2 linked regions of the Tamandua tetradactyla genome follow. The protein of the gene in region 2 purifies or fractionates together with the protein of the main gene of each other region. This does not show direct contact. Links are inferred from orthologs where the notes say so. Each region holds a gene or a part of one and is shown on either strand. Other genes may lie near its edges. The genes, in order: COPS5 and DCAF4.

Evidence for each region.
Region 1: the proteins of DCAF4 (region 2) and COPS5 purify together in Homo sapiens (affinity purification with mass spectrometry; 4 studies listed by BioGRID and IntAct, counting the BioPlex papers as one, with this or other methods). This does not show direct contact. The link is inferred for Tamandua tetradactyla from reciprocal best matches to the Homo sapiens genes DCAF4 and COPS5.

What each region holds. Positions count from the first base shown.
Region 1 is NC_135332.1:110,682,176-110,691,430, reverse strand, and holds the start of COPS5 (COP9 signalosome complex subunit 5), read left to right. Parts: upstream 1-5,880; 5' UTR 5,881-6,089; coding exon 6,090-6,394; intron 6,395-8,357; coding exon 8,358-8,592; intron 8,593-9,255. UniProt on the Homo sapiens protein: Probable protease subunit of the COP9 signalosome complex (CSN), a complex involved in various cellular and developmental processes.
Region 2 is NC_135338.1:31,551,701-31,560,347, reverse strand, and holds the start of DCAF4 (DDB1- and CUL4-associated factor 4), read right to left. Parts: upstream 3,715-8,647; 5' UTR 3,539-3,714; intron 1-3,538. UniProt on the Homo sapiens protein: May function as a substrate receptor for CUL4-DDB1 E3 ubiquitin-protein ligase complex.

The sequences.
Region 1 (9,255 bases), on a different chromosome or scaffold from region 2:
GTTTTTTCTCTGTGATATCACTTTATTTCTTTTTCTGGTGTCTTGCTATTTCTTTCTCTAAATCGATGCATATGTACTGAGAAATGATGACCATACACCTATGTGATGATATTAAGAATTACTGATTGCATATGTAGAATGGAATGATTTCTAAATGTTGTGTTAGTTCATTTTTTTTTAATTAATAAAAAATAAAAGAAAAAAAAGAATAAATCAATTGTTCATAAAAAAGTTACTTAGCAAATCAAAAAGACTGAGTTGATGAGTATAGTCTATGTACAAACTACAATAAGAACGATTACAATTTAAGGATTAAAATGCAAGGAAGATGTGCTGAAAGAAATCTCAATGAGATTCTTCATCTTCCTGATACCCTACAAAGCAAAATCATTCATAACCTTTCTCAAGACACTATTACCAAGTTGGGTTTTTTTTTAGTATCTGTGTACTGAGGATGGAGATGATAAATGGTTTTTAGGAAATTCAGTTTTAGTGAAAGACCTGGATTTGAAACCCAAGCCCGTCACTTACTGACTTTATATGACTAACCTCAGAAAAGTTCCTTAACCTCTCTATGTCTCATTTATAAAATGGAGATACCACTTACTTCAGAGATGTTTTAAAGATAAATATGAAATAATGCATATAAAATATGTGGCACTTGGAAATCAATAAATCATAGCTATTTCATAGATTCTTATAGTATTTTTATAGTCTTTAATTATATAGGTATTACCTTTAAAAAAAAGCCTCAAAACTTAAAGTACACTGGGATTTAAATCACCAATAATTGATACTTTGTTATAATCCAATTCAATATTTCTACACCTTAACTTAGGTCCTTTACGCTTGTCATATAGATAGAAATATGGGCAGACCAGAACATACCCATTCTAAGTCCTGAGCAAGTTGAAAAAGCAGAGATCCAAAAGCAGTTAAGTATGCCTGGTTCCTTTTCCAGTTTCATCAAACACAAAGAGAGGGGAAATGTCGCTCCCATACTTCTCACTTCAAGGAGCAGAAATTATTTAACTTCCCACTATGGAACATGACAAACAGAAAGTAGCTCCCCTCCTAAAGCAAACATTGTGCTAGATGCTGGGGTGATAAAATTTTTTTAAAAAAAGAATAAGACATGAACTTCACCTTTGAATTCACACACGATAATGGCCCATGCCACAATGGTTTACAGTTTAGCCAGTCTGGGCTTCAGGGATTAAATGTGAGGAACCTCATAAAGGATCCAATGGAGATATCAAGAAAATAATGTATGTCTGGAACTCAGGAAAGAACCCAGACTGGAACTAAAGATCCAGCAATGTTTACAGTAATCATTAAAGTCGGCTGGGAAAAGAGACCCTAGAGTAGAAGGAGAATAGCACTGCAGATAGAATCCCATGGAGTGCAAACATATTGAGGTTGGGGCCAGGATATGGGAACCTGTGAAAGAAACTCAGAAGAAAGAAAGGAAGTGTGCTGGTTTAAAAGGATGTATGTACCCTAGAAAAGCCATGTTTTAATCAAAATTCCATTTTGTAGAGGCAGAATAATCCCTACTCAATACTGTATGTAATTAGATCATCTCCCTGGAGATGTAACCTAATCAAGATTAGGTTAACAACTAATCAAGATTGGTTGTTAAACTGGATTAGGGGAGATGTGTCTCCACCCATTTGGGTGGGTCTTGATTAGTTTCAGAAGTCCTATAAAAGAGGAAACATTTTGAAGAATGAGAGATTCGGGGAGAGCTGAGAATGCTGCAGCACCACGAAGCAGAGAGTCCACAAACCAGTGACCTTTGGAGATGAAGAAGGAAAATGCCTCCCGGGGAGCTTCATGAAACCGGAAGCCAGGAGAGAAGCTAGCACATGATGCCCTGTTTGCCATGTGCCCTTCCAGCTGAGAGAGAAGCCCGAAGCCTTGGGCCTTCACAATTGAGAGAGAAATCCTGAAGTTCATCGGCCTTCCTGAACCAAGGTATCTTTCCCTGGATGCCTTTGATTGGACATTTCTATAGACTTGTTTCAATTGGGACATTTTCTCGGCCTTAGAGCTGTAAACTAGCAACTTATTAAATTCCCGTTTTAAAAGCCATTCTGTTTCTGGTATACTGCATTCTGGCAGCCAGCAAACTAGAGCAGGGAGGAAAGAGGTAAACCAGGACAGCGTTTCTCACTTCCCATCCATCCACAGATCTCTCCATCTAATGAAAGTTTCTCAATCTTTTTCTCCTATTAGATGAAATCCACATGAGCAACTTATCATAGGGACACAAATCCCCCTAAACATGTCTAAGAAGTAAATACTGTGTCGCTGCAGGGAGACCAAAAGGGTGGGGGTCAGAGAGGAAGTAAGTTTATAAAAGCTTTTCGAAGTCTATTAAGCAACTATTAATGGCAAGTACAGATGACAGTCGCAAAAATTACATAGACTATGGGTTTTGTAAAATTGCCGAAACACTTGCTCAAATATCTTTCTCTTTCACTCCAGAAAGCATATCAGAATGTAAGTCAGAGTGATGTTAAAATATCTGAAATCTGTCAAATTCGTAATCAACTGCATTTGTCTAAAGGTTGATTTGATAAAAATTGTACTGAAAGCACACCTGTTCCTTCCCAGAGATTACTAGTGCTGCAAGAGACCCAAATTTCATCCTCGGGAGCATTTCAGCATATATTTACCACCAGAAAGACAGCATCCTCCTAGCCAGGAGAATGATATACAGTTAAGAAAGCAACATCTTACTGGTTTCCCCCAGGATTCCTTTTTTTTTTTTCTTTTTTGGTAACGTATACAAAACATAAGTTCCACTTTAATAACTTTCAATATACAATCAGTAGTATTAATTATATTAATGTGGATCCCATCACACCACCCATTACCTAAAACTTTCCAGGATTCCTTTTTGCTTGTAGACAGGACATGCCAGTACGTTTATAAATAAAACCTCCTCAGAATAACTGGCTTTTGCAAACTCTTCTTGATCGTTATTAGGTGTATGGAAACTATGAGGTTTTCTTTAAAATTTAGTCTCTCTAGACATTCAAGCTACCTTCTCAATCCTATAATCTTTGGAGCAAGACTCTCAAAAGATGCACTATTGCTAACATTGCTAACGTTTACTGAAAACTGGATTGAAATCTCAGAAAGTACCCTAAATTGAAGCAATTAGAAATAAAAGGTTCTAGTTCAAGAAGCCAGGCAATTACAGGAACAGAACAGAATAACAAAAGCACCTTCTTCATTCATCTGTGGTGAAGATTAAATAAATTATAACTTGCGAAGCAAAGCTCCGGGAAGAGCGCGGGGCGCACAAGCCCTCAACAAACGTTAACCATTAACCAGCACTACGGGAAAGGAAAGGCGCCGCCAAAGGCTAGGTAGAGCTGTGGAGGCCGGGTCCCCCAAGAAGGAAGGAGTGCAGGAAGGAGGACCCCGTGCGTCTAGGACACCGGGCTGGCTTCCTCCCTACGAAGCTTCGATGCGTTGTCAGGCAACAGAGTCACCATAACACCCGTGGCGGCCGCCGGGAAACCGAGACCGCCGCATGCGTGCACCGCCCCAGCCCGGCAACCGCCACAAACCCGCCCGCAGGGTTGACCCCCCAGCCCGGCAGCCATGAGACCCCTGCCCGCAGGGAACCTCCGGTCACCTAACTCCTCCAGCCCTGCAGCCGAGGGACCCAGTCCGCAGGGAACCCCATACATCGACACTTGCACTGCCCGCATCCGGTTACCCCTGTCGGCAGACAGCTTCCACCCACAGGACCCGTGTACCGCCCCCAACCCCAGCCGTCAGACCCCAGTCCGCAAAGAACCCCACCCGCGTAACCCTTGCACTGACCCAGGCTCGGCTGCCACAGGGACTCTCCCTTACCCCCTCCCCGGGTCCATGAAACCCAATCCCCGCCCCGGGGCCGCGAATCCAGCCCTGATCCCCTTACTCCCGGGCCACACCCTGTCGGGCCCTATCCCCACCCCGTGCTGGCGGACTCTCACCCAAGAGGATAAACTCCGTTTGGGGTCCTCACAATGTTCCAACTAGGAGCTTTCGTGTCCAGGAACGGAGGCGGCAGTCGCTCGGCGCCGGAGAACAGTGACAGGCCGCTGGCCCGGCTCCGCCTCTCTGGCGGAGATCTCCGCCCGCCTTCACCAACGGCCGGGTGCGGCCCCGCCCCACTGCCGTCGCGGCCGATAGATCACGCGGCCGGGAGCGCCCTCTGCAGCCGGGAGGCCGCACAGCTGCACAGCTGCACAAGGGCACCCCCGCCCCGGGGCCCGCAGGCGGCGCCTGCAGCCCAGCCGGAGACAGTCCGCCCCGGGGCTGTTAAACCGTGGGATCCACTTCCCAGGTTAGATTCCAGCCCCTCCAGCCTCTCAGGCACCGGCTAGCTCAAGAACTGGGTCAAAGCTAGGAGAAAAAAAAAAAGGTAAGGGGAAGCCGTGAAAGGAAAACTGTGTACATACTTCTGGGCATTGCTCTTAGCCCAGCAATCTAGTCTAATTATGTCCTGGGTTTTTAATACCATTTCAACAGGTTATTCATTTCACCCCAATACTGAATAGCCATAGCTATCTTTGGGGGGAGGGGAGGAGGCAGAGGATTTCTAGCTTCCTAAGAATGTGGAACTAAGGGTCCTTTCCTAAATTACTTTGTGTCTTTAAATGCAGATTTTCTTCGGTTGGAAGTCAATGTCAAAACAGCAGGTGACTGAGTGTGAATTTGATCCTTCCAGTGTTTTTTAAGTATATGCCAGGCACCATACTAGGAGTGGAGGCTACAATACAGTGTTTTGCACTCAAGCTTACGGTGGAAATAAAATCTTCAAGTAAACAAATATGTTATTACAATGCAATGTAATACAGTCATAGAAGCACGTACAGAGACTGAGACAACATGGAAGAAATGATTACTAGAGAGAGGAGGGAGTCAAGAAAGGTTTCACAGTGGAGATCTCCGAGCTGTATTTTAAAAATTAATAAGAACTCTCTGGCAGAAAAGTTGAGGAAGAGAATTTCAGGAATTGCTAATCGCATATGCAGTCAAAATAAATATACTGCAGGAAGAGCAAATATTCAGGAGCGACTAAAGAGAGAAATGAAGCTGGGGAGACGCGAAGGGACCAGATTATGATGAGCTTTGACACTACTCAATTTTGTTCAGCAAAAAATTTATTAAACATCTACTCTGCTAGGTGTTAGGGACAAAACAAGACAGATCTGGTCCCTGCGTCTTAGAATTTTGAATCCAGCGGGAGTGTTGGCGGAGGCTGACCCAAACAAGTAAACTAACAAATGAAATAAACATTTTATTGTTAGAAACCTAAAGGTTGCTGAGATGTAATCCCTCGGGGTCAGGGGTAGTTTCACAGAATGATGTTGAAGATTTTATAGTAACTTATTATAAAAACTGAATACCAAGAAAATAAAATTAAATTTAAAAAGCAAAAACTGGGTATAGACACTTCAGGACAGTAACTAGCTCAAAACATATAAATACAGCTGTTAGATTTTACAAATATGCAAGAGGTATTTCGCAGTCCGCGTATCTCCAAAGCCGCCCCGAACGCAGAAAACGCCGATCTGAAGGCGCTGAGCCAAACTGCCGCCAACTCCCTTACATTTACGCACGCGCAGTGAGTTGTCTAGCAGGAAAATGGGATGCCATTTGTATCTTCCTTCTCACTGCCATCCCGAACTACTTATATCTCAATTTCTCCACAGGCACCCTGATTTTAAGCTTTCAACGAACCTATCTTATTTGAGGTCCCTTACACCCAGACAAAAACTACTACTTTCCCCATCATAGCCTGAGACTCTATCCATTTTAAATATGGCGGAGGCCGAGCCTGCGCAGTACAAACAAAGAAGGCTAATTCCAGATTCTGACAAACCGTTAACGTGCCCTTCTTCCGGTGCAGAAGGTCGTACCATTCTCATACCCAATTACCTTGTTTGGCCTAATTCACATGTATAATTCTCAGGACAGGATGTTTTCATTTCAGCCGCAAGAAGATTCCTCTTTCCCTAGGTCTTCCTGTTACTTCTGTTTATATCGTCACTCCTCAGAAGTACCCCTGTCATCTCCGAATGGTCTGTACCACCTTCACCTCCGGTTCTAGGTGTCATGGCTGCTTTAAGAGTCCTGTAAGAGTTTGCACCGGTGGTGGGGAGGGTCCGAAGCCCACACCCGGAGGCCTAACGGGTAAAGTTGCGTTAGGTTGTGGCGGGGACAGCTTCAACTCATCGGCTATGGCAGCGTCCGGGAGCGGCATGGCCCAGAAAACCTGGGAATTGGCCAACAACATGCAGGAAGCCCAGAGTATCGATGAAATCTACAAATACGATAAGAAACAGCAACAGGAAATCCTGGCGGCGAAGCCCTGGACTAAGGAGTGAGGAGGTCCCTGGCGAGACGCAGGGGAGGGAAGGGGTGGCGGGAGTTTAAGAGGCTTGGGGGAGTGGGAGTTGAAGAATGTGGAGAGCTTGGCACTGTCTTTTCCTGGGCTAGGAAGGAGAGGAGTATGAGAGATTTTGTCTGCCTTTACCTCCGCAACTAGAACCCAAATCCCTCTCTGAGGGTCTGCGGCGACTCCTAAATTCTGTCTCCTTAATCCATTTGCCTACAGGAGATGAAAGGGAGTAAAGAAGTGGCGGTGATAGGGGTTATCATCTCTCAACATCCGTATTGTCATTAATGCCGCACACTCTGCCTTGAAGCACGAGGGGATCTACACTATGGCTGGTCCTTCAGCTAATCCTGGACTGGGGACTGCAGTCGTCTTCAGGACTCTCAGATAGCAATAAGCCATCTTTTAGAGATGTATAAAAAAAAGATGTAAAAAAAAGACTACCAGTCTTTTAACTGCTGGTAGTTATGTCATGGACATACAGAGGCTTTATCCAGTCTCCCAAAATAATGGTACACCACTTCAGATAAGCCAAAAATTATATTAATAGAGCTTAAGGCTCTTTGCCCCTTAGCAAAATATTTCTTTCCCTGGAAACGATGACAAGTCTAGAGTTCTTTTCATCATAACATTTATTCTTTACTGAGAACAGACTTTGTTAGAGAAAGTAAAAAGAGCACGGGAAGGCACTGTCTGATGGAGAGGAAGAAAGACAGGAACACCAACAGAAACCATATTTTATCTGCTCAGAGTTTTAGACAAGCTGACTTTAACTGCCAGAATTCAGATTCAGCAATGTTTATTGAGAACTTAATACTGGAATACCATATAATCTTTTCCTGACAGTCTTGTACTGTATTTTCATTCCTTTTTTGCAATTATAAAACAGGCAAATACATGAAAGGCACACCTCATGATTGCACTGAGGCAGTGAACTTTTAAATAAGCAATAGACCTAAGATCAATTCTCCCAGCTGTCACTAACTGTGTGATTGACCTTGCGTCCCCATTTTTTTGTCTCTGAAATGGAGATAAGACTTACCTCTTGTGGATGTCAGACAGATTAGATGAGATTTTGGTATTAAAAGGGTTTAGAATGCATGTAATAGGATCACAATAGTTGTATCTTCTTTTCTTTTCCCCAGTAAATAGAGGAGCCAAAATTTTAATTCATGTGCCTGAATCCTAAGACCAAATCTTCATATTTTTCAGCTTGTAACTGAAATCTGTCAAAACTTGATAATTAAGCCTGGATGCTTTTAGATGACCTGTGAGATGTCATCTAAAAATGACTTTTCATAGAATTTGGCCATTCTATACAGACTGTTTAGGTTGCCTTGTTATTTGCTTACTACTTATAGTAGACTATGCATTTAATGTTGATGTAGTCTACTGATTATTTACTTTATTTAGTCCTGACAACAACCTTATGAAATATTCCTATTTACAGAAAAGCAAGCTAAAGAACAGACATTAAGTGGTTGTCCTGAGGCCATAGTTAGTAAGTGGCAGTGCCAGGATTCAAACATAGTCGGATATCAGAGCCCATGTTCTCAACCATTAGGACAGAAGGCTGATCCTGAGAATAGTTGGTTAGACACAACCATTCTGCCAGAGTCAAAATCAGAGACTCAGTAATGCTGAAATTAATAGAGAAAAAGTCTATTAAGCTGATCTCTTTTTCACTTGAATAACATAGTTAAAAATTCTTTCAGACTTTGCCTCCCCTAAGTGGAAATAACTGTTCAGAACTATGACATGTTTATTATTTTTGGCACCCTGCAGGAACTCTGTCCTATCCTATTTTTTCTTTCCCCAAATTTACACTCTGTCTCCCCTTCCATCACTGTAAATTCCTTCAATATATAGTCCTTCACTTCACCAAAAAAAATACCTTTTGAAATTGTTCTTTATATAAATTTAATTACACCATGTTTTTGTCTTGTAGTCACCATTACTTTAAGTACTGCAAAATCTCAGCATTGGCTCTACTGAAAATGGTGATGCATGCCAGATCAGGAGGAAACCTGGAAGTAATGGGTTTAATGCTAGGAAAGGTGGATGGTGAGACCATGATCATTATGGACAGTTTTGCTTTGCCTGTGGAGGGCACTGAAACTCGAGTTAATGCTCAGGCTGCTGCATATGAATACATGGCTGCGTATATAGAGAATGCCAAACAGGTAAAACCATTGTTTCTTAAAGTTCATAACCAGAAGTTTCAAGGTGACTTTTGACTTTCCAAACCTAAAACTGTTCTCTTTACGCTGAAGTTCATAATTAAGTTTTTTGCAACAATTTCTTAATGTATAGGAGATTAAAAATTTGGAATTTTTTCATTCAGATTCTCTCACTACCAGATGTGTGTTTAAAATGAAAAGTTTGGATGGAAACAACTTAAATGTTCCTGACTATAAAACTGGTTAAATAAATTATGATACATCTATACAATGGTTTTTCTAGCCTGCCTTTAAAAAAATGAAGTAGCTATCTTTATTTTTACTTATGTGGAACTAACTCCAGAATGTTATGTTAAATGAAAAAGCAAAGTGTTGACCATTATGTGGTTTGCTATTGTATGTATGTGTCTTTAATCTACGTATGTGCAAAGAATATTTATTTTATATGCAAAGACTGTCTCTGGAAGGGTATGTAAAACTGGCTATGGTGGTAGCATCTGGGCTGGGAAACTAGATAGTGGAGATGAAAGAGGTGGGAAGGAAACTAAATACCTTTATTTTACTTGTGCCTTGTTAATTTGGTACCTTATACATGTATTACCTATTCAAAAAATCCTCTTTTTTAAAACTTGAAAGTAGAATATGCTATGAATTATTCTGCATTCC
Region 2 (8,647 bases):
TTTTGTTTGTTTGTGTGTTTGTATCTTTTGTTTTTGTTTTTTTTCTTTTTCCTTTATATATATATATATATATATATTATTAGTATTATTATTTTAATTCTCTTCTCTATATTAACATTCTATATTTTTTTCTGCTGTTTTGCTAGTTCTTTTCCTAAATCGATGCAAATGTACTAAGAAATGATGATCATACATCTATGTGATGATACTAAGAATTACTGAGTGCATTTGTAGAATGGAATGATTTCTAAATGTTGTGTTAATTTCTTTTCTTTTTTTTGATTAATAAAAAAATTAAATAAAAAAAAAAAACTTACTTGAAAGTTACAATAATCAAGACAGTGTGGTTACTGGCATAAGGACAGAAGGAGCCACAGACTAGAACAGAGTCCAGAAATAAACCCATATATGTAGGGTCAGCTGATTTTTCAACAACGGTGCCAAGACCATACAATGGGGGTAAAAGCAGTCTTTTCAACAAATGGTGCTGGACAACTGGATAGTCGTCACATGGAAAACAATGAAGTTGGACCCTACATCATATCATATACAAAAATTAACTCAAATGGATCCAAGACCTAAATTTAAGAGCTGAAACTATGAACTCTTAGAAGAAAATTTAAAACTTTGGTGCATCGATGGATCTTAACAAGAAAGTGAAAAGACAATGTACAGAATGGGAAAAGACATGTGTAAATCATCTATAAGGGTCCAGTATCTAGAATATATAAGGAACTTCCACAATTGAACAATGAAAAGACAAACTGATTAAAAAATGGACAAAAGACTGGGGTGGCACTTCCCCAAAGAAGACATACAAATGGCCAAGAAGCACACGAAAATATGCCCAACATCTAAATTTTTCTTCTCAACCTTTTCTTTATTTTGGTAGGCAACACGTGAATACCTCTGCTCTGCAAAGAAGTATTTCAATAGTGATAAATTCTGAAACTATAGTCTTCATATCATCTATTTTCTGCTTTCCAAAACTGGAATAGCTTCCTTCAGATGATGACTTGTCTGTAGCTCCCTGAGACTCAGTTTCTGCCTGTGAAATAACATGCTGATCACATGGGTCTCGCTGATTTGTCCTTTTCCGAGTTAACCGTTTAGCTTAATTCTTTGCGGTTAATGTGGCCTGAGGTCATCCCATTCCATTTTTCAATGCAACTTAAGTTTTCAAAGGTTTAACTACTTTGGCTTCAAGTCTTTCAACCTCTGGTTATTGACAAGCCTGATGTTTGGCAAACTCATCAGGAAAAGTTGTTCAGGCCTCTGGGTCTCTGTAGAGGCACACATGCTGATTTCACCAGGAGGTTGGCTTTGTCTGACAGCATGGTGATTTTCTGCACATAAGCAGCAAAAGATTTGGTGCAGCTCTCCAAAATGCTTTTTCCCATTTGTGATATCATCTTGCAGGTTTTGCTGATAACCTGTCCCTCCCTGCCTTTAAGATCACATTCCTGGCCTGGCCTCAATATCCGGAAGGTAGAGACACACGAAAAGGCACAGGCATGTAGGCCTCAAGCTGTGACCTGGAAGCTTGGGCTATTCCCAGGGTTTTGTATGGCCCGAGGCAGTGCTGGGACTCCAGCCTGGAGAAAGTGGGTGGGTAGCAGTACTCTCACTGGTACATGGACTTCCCTCACCAGCCTCCTCTAGTTTAGGGAAGGAGGCCCCAGAATATAGTGGCTCAGGTCCAGGACTTAGCTATAGAGACTCCCTGGAGAGAGGCTCCAATTCTCCCATGCAAGTTCTTGAATCTAGGGTCTCTGGGCAGTTGGGTCCCCCTGCTTGTTACCAGTTTTCCAGGAGGAGCCTCAACATCTTGCTAGCCTAAGGCGTTGGGAAACCTAGAATGGGGCCCATCCACCAGGCCTCCAAGGTTGACCCAGGACCACAGGGTTTCTCTTTGGTGTGATGAAACTATTCCGGAATTAGATAGTGGGGATGACCATGGAACCTTGCAAATATACTAAAATCCATGGAATTGTTAACTTTTAAGTGGTAGATTTTATAGTATCTGAATTATGTCTCAAAAAAAAAAAGATATTTACTCAGCATTACTGTAATATCTAAAACAAGACATATCCAAAATATTCAACAAAAAGGAATTAAATGAATTATGACTGTGGTACAGCTACTCAACATAAAATTACGGAAACTACTGAACCATAATGTGGAAGGATGCTAATGCCACTGATTTGTACAGGCGAATACAAAACGACCTCTACATGGAGACTTCCACCTTGTTAAAAGTATGTGGACACAAGGACAGAGGCTGCAAGGAAACGGAAAAATGCAAATAGTTCAGTTTGGAAGCACTGAGGAGTGAAATACTACTTTTGCTTAGTGTAAAAAAAAAAGTTTTCTGTTATTCAAGAAATACTACAGGTGTAAGCCTTTGTACTAATATCCACCCTGAGCTGTTATTTTACCTCTGTTTTATAAATAAGGAAACGGAGGCCTGGAGGCCTAGAGGACTGAGTAATATGCACAGAATGACAAAACTAATTAGTGGTGAAATAGGGATTCCAGCCCTGCTGGTCTGACCCCTGAGCCTGGTCACCAGCGTTTTAACAAGACACCACCTCAACTATAAATTCCATTGTTATTTAAAAACAGAGTTTGGGACTCTGGGATTTTGTTTGTTTCCTCCTGGAGCTGTCCTATTAGTTTTCTTTCCTCCTTTTTCCCCCTCTGCTGTACTGATCAATTCACAAGACGATGTCCGTCGACTATCCTGCCCCATCAAGGAGAAGGGTTTATCACGGTTCCTGCAGTCAACTAGAAGGACAAGACTTGCTGGACTCTGCAAGCACGTATGTGCAAATACTGGCTCTCTTGCTACTACACAACTCGGTGTGGCCGTTAAGGGCCGGGCTCTGGACTCAGAAAGTCTCAGATCAAATTAGGGATTCGTCACTTAATTAGACGGGGTAAGTTTCAACCTCACTACGCCCTTTCTGCAGCCTATCTATAGGGCTGTCGTGTGGAAAACGAAATTTAGTGCCTCCAAAGCAGTTAGTACAGCGCCTAGCACTTAGTAAGCACTCAATATGCGTTGGCTGTTATGCTGACCTGACCGAAAAAGTCAACCCAATATGAACATTAAGGGGAAACAGCCCCCATGAATCGGTAGCCCAGCCAAGGCTAGGTGCTTGATGGTGCCACCAGCATCAGGGTTTTTAAAAACGTTCCTTCGGGGCAAGAGACTGAGCGGCGACACTCGGGTCCCTCTTTTCACTCCCCGCCCCCGTGTCTACGACTGCAGCTCCGACCTTCAGGACAGGCCCCACCCCCACCCCCACCCCCACCCCACACGCCCACGGATTCCCTCCGGCAAAACCGGAACCCACCTGCCCAGCCTCCACCCCAGCCACAGTCCTACCGGCGTTCCACGTGCTGCTCGGTTCCTCCCCGCCCCTTTCTCTGGCCTTCCCCACACGCTCCCACCCACCTGAGCTCTGTAAGAGGGGAGAAGCAACAGCAGCCCTCCGTCCGACACCACCTGGCACCTCAGCCAACATAGACCTACCTGATTGTGAGGGTCCGTTCTGGCTAGCCCGCGACCCCAGCTCTGCAAGGTTAGGAACGAGTTGCGGAGGAACCCGGAAGGACCGAGTTGTAGGGTCAGCCAGTTAGGCGCGTCCGTTGTTGTGTTGTAGCAGCCGATAGGGCCATGACGGCCGCCTCTTCCTTCTCATTGGACACAGCTTCTGTCTGTCGACATCTATAGGGTCGATCTCACCGGGAGGGCGGGACATGGGTGTTCGGCTCCGCCCAGCCTGGTGGGGCGGTCCGGGTCGACTGGCGTGTCCGGGCGTGTCCGGGGCGTGTCCGTCCAGGAGCCTCAGGGCTCGCAGACCACCCGAGAAGGTGTGCGTCTCTCGCCCGGGTCCGGATTCCTTCTCTGCCCGCAGCTCACTGACCCAACCCGGGAGAAGTTCTTTTGTCACTCGGGGGCCACTGTCTTTAAAACTAACACTTGAGGAGGAGGATTGTGTTGGGTGAAGGGCGAAGGAGTCTCTGAGGTGAGAGAGAGAAGAGGAACAGGTGCTGACGTCTTCGGCGGTGACTTCAGGTGTTTGAGGCGGATGACCCGAGTTCTGCTTGGCCCCGCGGTGCAGAGGAGGGTGCCCGGAGCGGGGAGTCAGGAGGCCTGGGTTCCAGGCTTAATTCTGTTCCCTTCTTAATGTGGACCTGGGGCAGGCTCTTCCCTTCTCTGGGCTTCCGTTTCTTATGTCTGTCCTTTTCTCCAGCAATAACGTTCAGAACGATTTGTCCATACGAGCAATAAATAGTTCCAGAAAGTTTTCTGTGTGTTGTGCCTTAGCTGACAGCCATCAGGTCTTCTAAAAGGAAAACAGCAGCCTGTGATAGAGCTCGTGATACAATAGGAAAATAAGCCCATTCCTGTTTACCCAGAAAGTATTTTCTACTGAATACCAGTTTTGTGAGGAGAGCTGAGTTCAAATAGGCCGGGCTTTGGGGCCACTTGCAGACCTGGTGCCCCAGCTGTCTGTTAACAAAGACCCCTGTGGCTTTACTCTTCAGAAACTAGGTTGTGGCGTTTATCCGTCCTTCCAGTACATCCAGAAGGCGTTTCAAGCAATACCATGAAAGTAGAATTTCGACTCTGAAGTTTACAAAGAAGTGCTGGGCATGGTGGAGTGGAGGTGGGCAGGTGTGAAGGGCTGGAGAGGGGGATGAGAGATGTGAGTATAATCAGAATAAAGGACAGTTTTATGAAGCTTGTATTGCCTTGAAGAGGAGGCAGAGGGAAATTGGAAGAAAAAAACATGACTGACAGCTTGTTCAAGAAATAGTGAGACATTTCTTTTGGCTGAATGAGAGGGGAGTCCTGGAGGTAAAACTTACAAGGGGCTTCAGATGCTGTAAAAAGTGTAGACAGTGAGTAAGTAGCATGAACCTCTGAAGGCTTGGAGTGATACGACTAGAGCTTTGCTTTGGGGAAATTACCTGGGTAGCGCTGTGTAGGAGACTGGAGAGGAAAGACTGGAAGTCAGATGAGAAACTTGTTAGGAGGTTAGTGCAGCAGCAGTGCCTGTGAGAGGTAGTGAGGGCCCAGCCAGGGATAAAAGCAGGGTTGGGGTGGTGAATGAGTGACACATTTCGGGAGAACCTGCATGACTTGATAGACTCTGTGGGAGGAGACAGATAGGGTTTTAAACCGAAGAGCTGGGTGACTGGAGGAAGTAAGGAGGAAGAGTTTGTTTGGACTTCTGAACTGCTGAATGGCAGAGAGGGCAATTGAATATCCACAGAGGGAGTGGTGTGATAGGCACGGGATATGCCTTGGGGACCTGCAGTGTACACACGGTGAGAAAGATTAAACAGCATTAATTAGTGCACAAAGGAAGCTTGGCCTTTAACAAGTTATACGACCTCTCTGAATCTCTGTTGGTAAATGGGGATATTAACATCTACTAAAGAGGGTTTTGCATAGTAAATGCGAGGATAAATCACCTTGCACGGTGCTTGATCTATAGCTCCCATTGACTGGACATCCTCTATTAGGAGTATAGCTCAAGATCTAGATGGCATGTGTTATTATCAAAAGTAACAATAATTACTTTTAAAAAATTTCCTCTCCAGAATCTAAAACCAAGATAAATGAAAGTTGTTCTTTGAAATGGTGTCTAAATTGAATCAAGATTAAATTCGACTACATAAAAATGATAAATAATCACTTATAGTCCTTACCATAAGTCAGATATTTTCTGATCACTTTACATATATTCATTCTTTTAATCATTAGAACAATCTTACAAGGTAGGTACTATTAATATCACCACTTTGTGTGAATTTGACTAAGTGACTTGGTCAAGGTCACACAGCAGGTGAATATCAGAATCAAGATTTGAATTCAGGCAGTCTGTTTCCAGAATCTGCGTTCTTGAGGCAAAAAGTATTATAATGAAAATCAAAAGATATGCACTGATATTTGATATAAAATATTTGCAACTCTTAGAAAAGCTAATTTTCGTAATATATAAAGAGCTCCCAAAAATAAACCCAATAGAAAAATGAGCAGTCCATCTACAAAAAAGGAAATAAATATAAAATGATGCTTAGTCTCACTCCATATAAGGGAAATGTAGTTTAAAACTATACCGACATACCCCTTTTTCATAATCAGCAAAGTACAGAAGGTTGTTAAAATTCAATGAGGAGGGTGGGCCATGGTGACTCAGCAGGTAGGAGTGCTTGCCTGCCATGCCCAAGGACCCAGGTTCAATTCCCAGTGCCTGCCCATGTAAAAAAAAAGATTCAATGAGGGGGCTCCCGTACAATCTCTAAGGGAGAGAGTTTAGCAATATATCGATATTTATCAAAATTAAAACACACAGACCTTTGAGCAATTATATTGCTAATTCACCCTAAAATTTTTATTTTGTTATGTACAAAATTGATTAAGTCTATGGAGTTTTGTTTATAATAGTGAAAAGTTGGATACAACCTTAATATCCATTAATAAGAGGAAAACTTATGTTACATTAATTCAGTGGAATACTCTGCAACTGTTACAAAGTAAAAGAATGACTCCCAGGGATGAGCCTGGCCCTGGCACAGTGGGATCAACAATGCCATCTTGACCAAAGGGGACAAAAGAAGTATAAGAAATAAGGTATCAGTGGCTGAGAGAGTTCACATAGAGTCAAGAGGATACTCTGGAGGTCACTCTTACACAAGCGTCAATTAGACCTTACTACCTATTGTAACTTGCCAAACCCCAAACAAAACCATTCCTGCCAATCCTAAAGAATACCTAGGGCATTATATAAGATTCTACAAAGGTTCTCTCTACTAGGGTAACTCTTTAGGAACCTACAAACTCCAGGTGGGTCCTTGCACCAGATAAGTCCTGAAATGCAGAGGGGCCAGCCTCTCCAGAACATCAACTAGCTCCATCCGCCTATACCATATTATTAACAACCCTTTCCAACATGAAAATGTTAGAATGGGCATAGCTCAAAGGTGGAGTTATACAGAGAAGGTAGGGTTTAACAAATGAGTATGATTGCTGAATCATTATATTGATATTTCTTTTAGTTTCCAGTACCTTAGAGCAGCTAGGAGTAAAAACAAAATTGTGGAATCATAACCCATACCAAACTCTGAAATCTGTTGTACAACTAATTGTTGCGATGTGCTTTGAAATTTATTGCTTTTCTGTATATGTGTTATTTTTCACACACAAAAAAGAGGCGTATAACAGAAAAGATAGAATTTAACAAATGAGTATGACTGATGAATCATTATATTGATATTTCTTTTGGTCTCTAGTGTCTTGCAGGAACAAGAAGAAAACATGAAAAATTGTGAAACTGTAACCCATACCAAACTTTAAAATCTGTTCTATAATTACTTGTTAAATGTACTTGGAAATTTATTGCTTATTTGTATATATGTTATATTTCACAACAAAGAAAGTTAAAAAAAAAAAAAGTAAAAAGAATGAGGAGGTTCTTTATATACTGATATGAAATTACCTCCAAGATAGATTTTTAGTAGCATATAGAATGAAAAATGTATTTGTGTGTGTATATATATGTGTATGTCCCTGGAATGATACTAAACTTGATCATATCCATTAACTTTAGGGAGGGAACGTAAGTAGTTAGGAGGCAGGGATGGGAGGAAGGTTTTTCACTATATGCTTTGTTGTACTTTTTTACTTTTGACTATGTGAAATTAAAATATAAAATTTAAGTCTGATTCTTCTAAAATATCACATTTAAATATTAGTTAAAACAAGTCAACATATTATGAACAGCTGCCACCTGCAGAATTTGTCAAAGGGGCTAGGTTGCCTTGTCAAACCCCATCTTGGAGACACTAATCCGAAATGTAATCAATATAAGAGAAACATAATCCAAGAACATGTCCATCATGTGGTAACAATCACCCAGAGCCTGGAAAAAAGAGCTGTTTAATCAGAATTTGTCAGCTTCTATTTAGCAGTATCAAAGGGAAGGAGTTGTAATATCTGAGGGATGTATCTTGGTCCCTGAAAAACTGGATTCAAAATAATTCTCCTGTCCCTTCACTAAGCTGAATGAAATGTCCCACAAAACTTTCCAAGTTCCTTTGTATGATTACATATTCACCCAAGTGCTGATTCCACCACCCAAGGATGGCAATTCTGGAAAGGAGAGAGCTCTGGGGTAATGAGCAAGAATATTCTAGGCACTAGGAAGTTCTGAGTCCAGTAATAACCTGTAGTATTGGTATTCTGTGTGCTTGGATAAATTGAAGCAGTTTCCTGGTCCGAGTAACTGATATCCCATGCTGGAACCTGTAAACTCAAGGACAAGAACAAGACTCCAAATATTAGTCTTAGCTGGTTAACAGCCAAATTACTAGTTTATTATTTATTATTTACTTATTATTATTAAATTATTAATTAATAATACCTGAAACGGGAAAAAAGCTCCAATTACCTGTGACAAATCCACTCAAAGAAAACCGCTGTAAATATTTGGATATATGTCTTTTTTCCTAAGCATGTTTTATTACACATCTTTTACCCCTTCAGTCCAGAAGGCATTATTGACCTCATGGTGCCAGGGCCAGATTCATCCTGGGAAATCATGCCCCATGTCATCAGGGAGACCTTCAC